Nothobranchius furzeri: one gene and its partner. The main gene of each other region encodes a partner of the protein of the gene in region 2 in a complex. Links are inferred from orthologs where the notes say so. Each region holds a gene or a part of one and is shown on either strand. Other genes may lie near its edges.

What was found.
Region 1: supt16h (region 2) and ssrp1a share a complex: the UniProt entries of both Homo sapiens proteins name them as parts of the FACT complex. The link is inferred for Nothobranchius furzeri from reciprocal best matches to the Homo sapiens genes SUPT16H and SSRP1.

The regions. Positions count from the first base shown.
Region 1 is NC_091741.1:91,653,319-91,658,565, forward strand, and holds the start of ssrp1a (FACT complex subunit SSRP1a), read left to right. Parts: upstream 1-2,024; 5' UTR 2,025-2,111; intron 2,112-2,384; exon of another isoform or gene 2,385-2,491; intron 2,492-2,786; 5' UTR 2,787-2,812; coding exon 2,813-2,866; intron 2,867-5,247. Other genes in the region: uncharacterized protein clcf1, read right to left, coding at 384-402. UniProt on the Homo sapiens protein: Component of the FACT complex, a general chromatin factor that acts to reorganize nucleosomes. The FACT complex is involved in multiple processes that require DNA as a template such as mRNA elongation, DNA replication and DNA repair.
Region 2 is NC_091742.1:80,394,530-80,399,178, reverse strand, and holds part of supt16h (FACT complex subunit SPT16), read right to left. Parts: intron 3,093-4,649; coding exon 2,941-3,092; intron 2,356-2,940; coding exon 2,183-2,355; intron 1,911-2,182; coding exon 1,820-1,910; intron 1,743-1,819; coding exon 1,669-1,742; intron 1,548-1,668; coding exon 1,438-1,547; intron 1,357-1,437; coding exon 1,291-1,356; intron 534-1,290; coding exon 435-533; intron 121-434; coding exon 5-120; intron 1-4. UniProt on the Homo sapiens protein: Component of the FACT complex, a general chromatin factor that acts to reorganize nucleosomes. The FACT complex is involved in multiple processes that require DNA as a template such as mRNA elongation, DNA replication and DNA repair.

The DNA.
Region 1 (5,247 bases), on a different chromosome or scaffold from region 2:
AGAAAGTACATTATTCACTTTAGTCAGGGTGTGAGACCACACACACACACACACACACACACACACACACACACACACACACACACACACACACACACACACACACACACACACACACTTTTAATTGTTTTTGTTCTATTGTTAAAAAACATTGTTTACTACTAATAATAATTACTATTACTAGTATTAGTGACATTATAAATAAATAACGTTTAATTTGACAAAGTCCTTTTTTGTCTATAAATACTATTGTAAATAGTCTTTTGTTGCTTTTTTAAGAATAATCTGTTTTGTGACTTTTAATGCAATACGTGTCTAAAAGATGTAATAATAATGATTTATATCCACAGGTTTTAATAAGATAACTAGATTCATGATCTTACCTTTACCAAAGCTTCTCATGGTCTCCAGAACCGTTAATTCCAATCTCAACTAAAAAGAAATTCGTAACTTTTTAACACAGGTGATGTGGTGACTCGGTCTTTACAGGATGAACGAACTTTTTTGTTCAAAATAAAAAAAAGAAAAATAAATTTGAGAGTAACCTTCCTCAGGACGTCGTTTAAATTTATCCTCTGACTTGTGTGGTCTGTGTGACAGACGGAATGACGGCGGAGCTCTTTTTGTACCTCCTCCTCCTCCTCTTTTTCTCCCATTCCTCCCCTCTTTTCCATCCCTGTCTCCTCTTCTTCCCCTGTTCTCCTCCTCTGCGGTGATTCACCAGGTTGACGCATCACGGCTCAGCTCGAACCACGGGACTTGTCACAACTCATTTCTGTCTCTCATCTCCGCGAACGCGAGCTGACAGCGGCGTTTGATCTTTAATCTGCTTCCCTTTAATAAGGTAACGAGTCGGACCGGATCGACTCACCTCGGCCCGGATCGGGTCACCTCGGGCCAGGAGGACAGGGCAGAAACTCCACGATCCAAATGCTCCAGGAAACAGGGATTAGAGGGACCGTTTAACTTCAGAAAGGAGAGAAAGACGCGTTTTAATGGAACGCTTTAAAATTTACTGTAAATGATGAAAACACTTCGTCTGCGTTTAATCCATCATTTCCAATTTGTCGCAAAAAAAACAAAAACATTTTCTTTAAAATTGCGTGTTTAAAATATAAGAAACGCATACACTAATCACATTTAAATGTTTTAAGCAACTCTTCTGTTTAAACCTTTTGTTTAACAACAGACGACATTGATCTCATTTTCCAATCTCACATAATCTGGCAGGATGCAGCAGTTTCTTGAAAAAAAAATCCTTAATCTGGCAGGTTTTCCATATCTGTTCAGGTCACGCGGGGTATGCGTTTGAATTGTGGCCTTGTTAATGTGGACTGACAGCAGATCCTCAGGATTAATCGAAGGGAGACCCAAAACTCTTGTTTTATTTATTTATTTTTTTAATTTAACAAGATATTTAATTGAGACTATGTGGATCACTAAAGCACACTCATCTGACATGGTGCTATTATGACTGGCTTTCGGGCCCTGTGTTCTAATTGTATTTCTGTACTTTGTTAACTATTATCCTCTTGCATTATTTTATTTAATCAAGTTACTATCAAGTATCAGACTTCGTTTCCAAACTGTGCTACCTCAGCAGGTTAATCTGATCCGATCCTCACTGTAACACCAGTTCTTGCCTTTTTCTTGTAAAATGAAAACGTGAATATCTGTTCACACTATAGATTGTGGCTAGCACATCTGAATGTATTTTAAAGCAAAAATGAACCAAATTTGCGTCGCTTCGCTCAGTATTTAATGTTCTTCTAACAAGAGATTTATAACACAAGTAACGACAGGACTCTTCAGGCTCTTGGAGGGATTGTGCGCCCTGTAGTGGTATATCGGGGTCACTGCACCATTCTCTGGTCTGCGCAGACTCCGTAAAATCATGCCACTATTAGTTTGATATATCTTTAAAAACTCGTTAATACAAACACATTTACATCTTATACAAATGGGAAAGTGTTTAGTCAAAAAATATAGAATGCTTAAAAAAACCTTTTGGCAAACCGGAAAGAAACGCATACTCCTGCTGTTGTTTCCTGTGACGTCACACTAGCTCCTGATGCTACACGCGGGAAACGAATCTGCACATCTCAGTGATTGTAAGTCTACGTTTAAAAAACTGCCTTTTCTCCTGTGGATAAAAACTTGTTTGTGAGAGAAACTAATCAACAGAAGATAGGTTTGCTCACGCGCCTCAACTGAATTTGATTTCTTTGTTATGTAGACCATAAAATAGTACTTGTTTTCCAAAACCGGCCTAGCTTCTTTTTTTGTTGCGCTCGATTCGGTGTACTTTGCATTGCTGCGGGGCGGTGCTGTTGTTCGTGCCATTTCCTACAACCAAAATTACGACTCGGTTAAACATCGGTACTCAAAAGAAGCGTAGCAAGTGCACCTATGCTAGCTTAGCTATTGTGAGTGATGGAGCATGCTTGATGGTGCTGACAAACGGAGTGACACAGCCTTTACTTGTGTCACGGTGGGATTGTAAACATTTCTGCTCTTCAGATTGTATTTTACAATATTGTTGGGTAGATTTTTAACTATTTTAAATGGGCACACAGTAAAAAAAATAAGCAAACGTAACCGTTGAGATAACGTTAGGTCAGATTTCATCTTTGTTTAACCAGGAAGGTCCCATTAAGATAAAAATCATCATCTGAGCGTCTCGATGCTTCAGAATGACTAACATTTGGAAAACAGCACAGAATATTTCATTTTGTAATGAACTTGTTGATGTTTGGTTGGAACTGATGCCGTTTACCTGTGTATAGAGCGTCAGTCATCGCCTGGAGCCGACATGGGGGACACACTGGAGTTCAACGAGATCTACCAGGAGGTCAAAGGCTCTTGGGTCAGTTCCTTCACCCTGCCTTTTATTTTACATCTCTACTAAATGATTGTGTGTTTGCACGTTCAGTATGTAACCCACAGCATGATAGGATCCTGGTTATCTGATAACACTTGTATCCTTAAATCACAAAAAAAAGTCAATTTCAGAAGGTTTTTCCCCTTGTTACTATTTGAAGGTGTCAACTGAATATCAACATGGCATCAGAATTTAGTCAAGAAGATCCAAGAGGATGTTCATTTGACCACTGTATCTGTGATGTATGCTTTCATCTGCCAACACAAGTTTACATCACTCGTGTCATAGGGCAGGAGTAACGTCATGTTTTATCATAATCTATCAAATGTGATTCAGACACTCCTTCAGAAATCAGCAATAACTCTTTTTTTTCCTCATTAAAGCATCTTATTAGTAGCAAATAATCTTTAAGGCCCCTTGTGATTTCATTTAATTGATCAGATAGTTTCATACAGAAATAAATAAATAAAAACATGTCTTCCCCTCACCTCTCCTCTGTGTGACTGGTGTGCATCAGGTACTTTTATGGAAAAGTGTTTTCGTAACCCCAAATTAATTTACATTCAGTAATTTTTTAACGAATGGAACAAAATCAATCTTTTCATGTTCCCATCTTGAAATCACAGCTTTCATATACAAATACAAACTGGAGTTTGAATAATGTGAATTATTGTGAATTAAACTGAAGACTTGCCTTTTTAACCATTTTGATATCTGATAAGAGTACACAAATACCCCCCAACAAAAAAATCAGAATAGAAAACATTCACATTTAGCCTCAAAAGAGTCTGAATCACTTCAAATTAATTTCAGAACATTTAAATTACAGCTAAGTTCCAGATATCATCAAACCCAGGATGTCCTGACCCTCATGGGCAGAACTCGTTTGTGATGTGAGCTCCTCCTAAACGGTCCAGATGTTGCACCTCTGCTCCTAAAGGTTCTGCCTTTTGCGTCCCTCAGCATTGTGTCATTAATTACCGTTTATGTAAATTATTTATTTTTTAACATCTTTAAATCCATTCAGAATCATTTATGCCCACATTGATGCATCAGAAAATAGATTATACCCACCACCCCTAGAACAGTGTGTATATTTATATCTTAGTGTTTTACATTAAATGTTATTGTGACACGGATTAGTGCACCACACAGCATTCTCTAAAGAGCAGTTATAAGTAACACCTTTACAATTACCAACGTCGTCTCAACACGAAGGACCAAATGAGGATAAACATGTTTGTATAGTGGGATGTTCTGATGGAGCTGCCTTTAAGTCAAATGAAAAATAGAATATAACTCAGTTTTTATGTAAATCATCATTTAACAGAATGATTATTAAATGCTAATTGAGATGAGGTCAGTATTTTGTGGTTCTGCTTTAAACTTTGATGTTGAATCTAAAAAGGAGCAAAATATTTTAAAGTTGTTTCTGCTGTTTTTATAACTGATAGTGAATTATGTCCTAAAATGCCCAAACGACCCCGTTCTACCAAACAAACCCTTAAAAACCTTAAATAAGAATCTGTTTTAATCCAAGTTCCTCGTGTGTAGAAATCTAGCAGCTGATGGTATTTTACATCTGCTCTGAATTCTGGGTCAACCATGCAGACAATGCTGGCGAAATCCTACAGAGTACATGCTTTTTCTATTTGTACTAAATGTTTACTGGGTGTAGGATCCTACATCATTACATTAAAACTTGGCTTACTAAAATATATAACACGTGTCCCCGTTGTGTGATTGGTTACCATCATTCCTCTAGTTATGGGTTTAGGGATCATCCATCTTTGACGGTTTAGTGCAGTCTTTGATTTTCTGTCCAAAGTAAATGGAGGTTACAATGTTCCTGTTTGTGTTTCTTTTTATTGTTATTATTTTTATGCCAACAACAGTAAAATGAGGCTGAAGGTTTATTATATTCCTCTCCCTGTTGTCGGGCGGCGCTCAGATCAGCTGATCAGCAGGTCTGAACGCTGTGCACACAGGCAGCGTAGAGCGAGAGAGGGCAGCCATTTTCAGACTCAAACTTTTTTATAAGCAAGAGAAATCTTTGAAACTGTGGAGGAAAAATTGTTCAAACTAAAACACAGGAGATGTCCAAAAGGTTTGAAAGCCTGTGTGTTCATTATGTGTTAAAGAAAATCAAATGGCATTAAAGGGAACTTTGTTGAGCGAGCTATTAACGGAGATAAAAGCTCGTTAAGCCAGCATGTTTTACTGAGGATGCTTTTCTGCTCAACATCCAACCCAGACCAGGTCTGTATAACCAACATTGTCCCATCTAGAGGCTGACCGATAGATCGGACCGATAATTTCAAGTTTTTTCTATATCGGCCGAAATTATTTTTAAAAGCCGATTAAAA
Region 2 (4,649 bases):
TCACTTCTGGGTGTGCTGCTCCCCTTTCTGCTCCGTCAGACGTCGCTTGGCCTCCTCGTTCAGGTTATTGGCCAACTCCTTCTGGTGAGCCCGCCTCTTCTCCTCCGCCGTCATCTCGTTCTGAGTTTGTTTAAAAACAGCGTTTTAACAGAAACGCGTGAGGGCGGCGTTTGGGATGATGGGCACAACACACATGCAGAAAACCTCACGGCCAGATTCAGATGAGAAAATGAAATAAAAACAACCAAAATGAGACAGAAACTCAAATTCAGATGAACTTTTTCTCATCTCATCTTTTCCTTTTCTGAGTCAGCTTATTTTAGGAAAACACGGACTCACCTTCCCAAGTAGCTGATAGAGTACAAAGACATTCACAGGCTTAGTCAGAGAAGATCCTAAGATGGTCACATGACCACACGGACAGCAACACTCACTCTGGTTCTGTCTGCCAGCAGGGCGGCGCCACGGGCTCCCTTCCCCAGCAGCTCCTCGGCGTCGTTCTCGTCTTCCTCTTCATCCTCCTCGTCTTCTTTCTGCAAGCCAACAGGTGTAAACATTTCACCGCCGTGACGCTCAACAAGGCAGCTGGCGGTGTGGGAGTGTTCCAGCGGGGAGTGAGGGAATCTGTGGATGTGCTCAGGGGCTGCACCTACCACGGCTGATTACATCACAGCGAAGCTAACGATGCCGTCCACTTTTAAAAGTGACTCCAAATGTGGACCGTGGAGTCTGGTGTGTCCTGGTTTGTAAAGGCTGTGCCAGGATTGGCTGTGGGCCAAACGGGATTTTTTTCTTCTAGTAACAACGGCAGAGGAAGCGGGAGACGGTTACGGTTCTAAGTGCTGATCCGGAAGCAGACGACCCGTGTATCAGCACGTCGTTTTGGGAGTCCGCTGAGCCTAAAGCGAGGCGCAAACGGGAAAAGCTTCTGCAGCTCACGGATGGTCAAAGAACGGAAAAATCTAGAAACACGCAGACTCTTCCCGATGTGAGAAGTGAGTCTACTCTTTCTTTTGGTACCTTTGGTGTTTCAGTGGTCGTAGAGCACAATGCTCTGCGACTCACAGTAAAAACGCTCAAAAACACATGCAGTCATTGGGTTTCTGATCAGAAAACAGCTGGCAGCTAATCAGTAAAGATTCTTTTTTTAATAGATCTTTTTATTACTTTTTATTATAGACGAGTTTCCCACTCAAAGAAAGTTAAAGTGTGAGCTCGGGTTGCTTTGGGAAGTTGTTTTAATAATACAAACAACAAAACACACACTAGAAGTTACTGAAGGACACCGACCTTTAAGAAGATCGCCACGTTTTTTATCTTTTTCTTCACAGGTGTGAGAACTGTGGCCGCCTCGTCCTGGAACACACACACACACACACACACATCAGGATCAGAGCAGAAGAAAGGAGCTCCTCGTATGAATAAAACCATCCTGACCTCGTTGATTTGAATCGTGTCGCCTAGAAACAAGGCGTACTTCTGCTCGCCTTTCTTGCCGTCCTTATTTAGGAGGTCTGAGAAGCCCAAACTGATGCTCAGCACCATGCCTGGCACACACACACACACACACACACACACACACACACACACACACACAAACACACACTTAACAACACCAGGTGTAAATGTAAACACTCTCCCTCCCAGCGGTAAAGTCCAACGCCTCACCTTTCTTCAGCTTGTACTGGTTTTTAGCGTTCAGAACCAAGGAGCCTTCCCTGAACTCGATCCCCATCGCAAACCTGAGAAAAATAAAAGCCGGAGTGTTGGAGACGGTCTGAGTGAGCGGCTGGAGAGACGGAGCCGTGTGCGAATGTACCCGAGGTTTTTGGTCAGCTTCCCCACGAGCTCTGGCTTCTCTTTCTTCACGTACTCCAGGACGGCGTTGTAGGCGTCGCTAATTTTCACACCTGAGGAGTTTAAAAAGACGCGTTTGTGCCGTAACCCTGGTAACAGTAAGCTAAAGCCGGTAAATCACAGGGCTCTAAACGTCAGGGATTGGTGTCGCTCGACATTTGCATAAAAGCTGCATCAGTTTTATCTTCAGTTTAAATACAAAACATCATAATCCAAAAGCAATAAATCAGAATAACCGCAATAAAGTATTTAAACAACAGTTTACTACTTGATGGTTTAGCGAGCGCCCAGAGCTCCCACAGCCCCAGCCGGCCCCTGAACTCACCATGCTTCAGCTCCGTCAGAAGCTCCTCCTCCACCTGCAACAGAAAGTTGTAGTTGTCCTGCATTTCCTGCGAGGGGTCCACCATAAGTGTGCGCACCAGGTTGGAGCAGTAGGACTTGTAGCGGATGCCCATGGCACACGTGATGGCACCAAAGTGCATGTGGTTCTTGTCACTGGTGCAGAGAAGGGACGGGTCAGGGTCGAGGTTCTGGCTCCACGCGTCGGCAGAAAAATCTAATCGCTTCTGAGTCCTTTGTTTTGATTAATCTGTTGACTTTCTTTCGTGTAAAGTTAAAGGTTTAAACTCTGCAGCAAAAGCAGATGCAGTGACATCTAGTGGTGTTACAGGTGAATTACAACCAGCTGAAAAATAGATCTGTTATGGATCGTGTGTTTGAATATAAACAGAATAGAAAACATGGAGTAACCACCCGCCACAATAGAAAATTAATTGAAAAAATAAAACTGAAATAAAAATATTTATATTATATTCAATATATGTTTGTTTCCCCTCATTCATTCGTCTATTTTGGTGCACTTCTGCTCTTTAGGCCAAACTTATTGCACTCTGAAATTTGCTGCTAATATTTGAGCAGATTGTACCTGATAATTGTCTACAGGACTATTTAAACTTTCATAAAGTATTTTAATTCTAATCTCTAGAACAATCAGACAGATTAGAAGTTTTCTTCAGACCAACGCTCCACATCCTTCTGTCCACTGAGACAAATCGATGGAACACAGAACGAAAAAGCTACCTGACGACGCTGAACTTGAGGCTGTAGTTGCCGCCGCTCTGAATGATGGGAGGGTAGCACATCTCTACCGTGGACGGGTCGGCGCCGCCCAGGTACTTCTTCTCCTCTATGGCCTTCTCCACCGACTCGGCCAGCTTGCTGTGTCGGACTTTCTGTTGGGAGGAAAAAGAGACGAGGAGGGATTACAGAAGGAATGTTTTACCTCAGCTGGACGAATATGTCCGCCATCTGTCTAGACAAGGATGATTTTTCAACACTTTTAGAGAAAGTCCTTAATTTCATCAAAACCCTGCTGTAACACATCCTGATCCGTTTGTTTTATTTGATTAAGAATTATTACAAACTAAAATATCCACGTTCTGACCAGGACATAAAAACGTCAGGTGAGCTCGAGGCAGCAGTAACGTCATGTACAGGTTTTTACTGCCAGAAGAATTAAAGACATAAAAAGTTCTTCAAAATAAAGCAGCTCAGATGTACAAGAATCAAAAATCGGTATTGGCTTTAAAAATAATCTATGCATCTCATTAAAATAATCTATTGATCTCGTCTGATTATAAATTGGGCAGCAGCTTGGATAACGGACAAGAAAAAACTAAACTTTAATCCCTCTTACAACACTTCTGGCTTATAAATTTTAAATAAAAAACAGATTTATTTGTAGGGATGTCCCATTCTGATATCGATATCGGAAATAATTCGATATCGGCCAAAAAACAGTGTATCGGATTATATCGGACGGCATCAAAAATCTCCAATATAAGTGGTCCGTTAAGGTTCACATATTTGCAAGTAATGGTTAAAAAAGTGGTCGTTTTTTTCATAGTTACTGTTATTGGCTAACGGAGTATAGAAATCTGTAATAAGTATTACATTCATTCATCTTCAAATTACTAATTGATGCATTGATTGCGTGCCACGCGACAGCTCATCCAGGGTTTCCCTTACATAGGCGTAGCCGTGGCGGCCCGCCACGGCTGAAATCCCACCGTCACGCCTGCAAGATCCCCCCTTTTTTTTTGCGCCATTTCCCGAAGAAGCAGCGGGAACTACTATGTTGTCGCTTGTGATCACAGCCGGCGGGCAGCAAGGAGGAGCAGGCAGGGCAAGGTGAAGTTACAGCATAAGTTACTGAGTTTAGAATTAGAAAGGTAGCAGTGGATATAATGCTTTGTGGTTTACATGTTTCAATAGCATTAAGATAAACGAGTGTTGACGATCTTGACAGGGTTTCCTCCAGTGCTGACTAGGCCAGGTTCTCCTCCCCCCACCAAGCTAAGCATCACTTATTCATGTAAAATTTATTTTTTCATGTCTGACTTTAACCGCATCTAATACTGTATTACGGCGTGAGCGCAACGGCGACAACTGAAGATCGATGTGTGAGCAGCGTGAGAGGTCGGGTGTTTTCATCTGAACCCGTAAAACCTCCAGCAGCTACGCTGCACTATTGACGTGTTAGCGCGCGGCGCTAACAACTTAGCGACGTGACATGTCTCGGAGAAAGCGTAAAAACATGTTGGACGCTTCTTCTGAAGCGGGAAAATAACACCTCTTCTTAAGCAGAGCACGACGCCGCCTCGGCTCGTTCACGGCCGAGCCGGACTGAGCTCGATAACATTGACCCAGCACAGCCACTGGGTCGTTGGAGCTGCCCCGTGACTGCCTGATGGAAAACCAGCGGGTTTCATCAGACTCGTAAAGTTTCT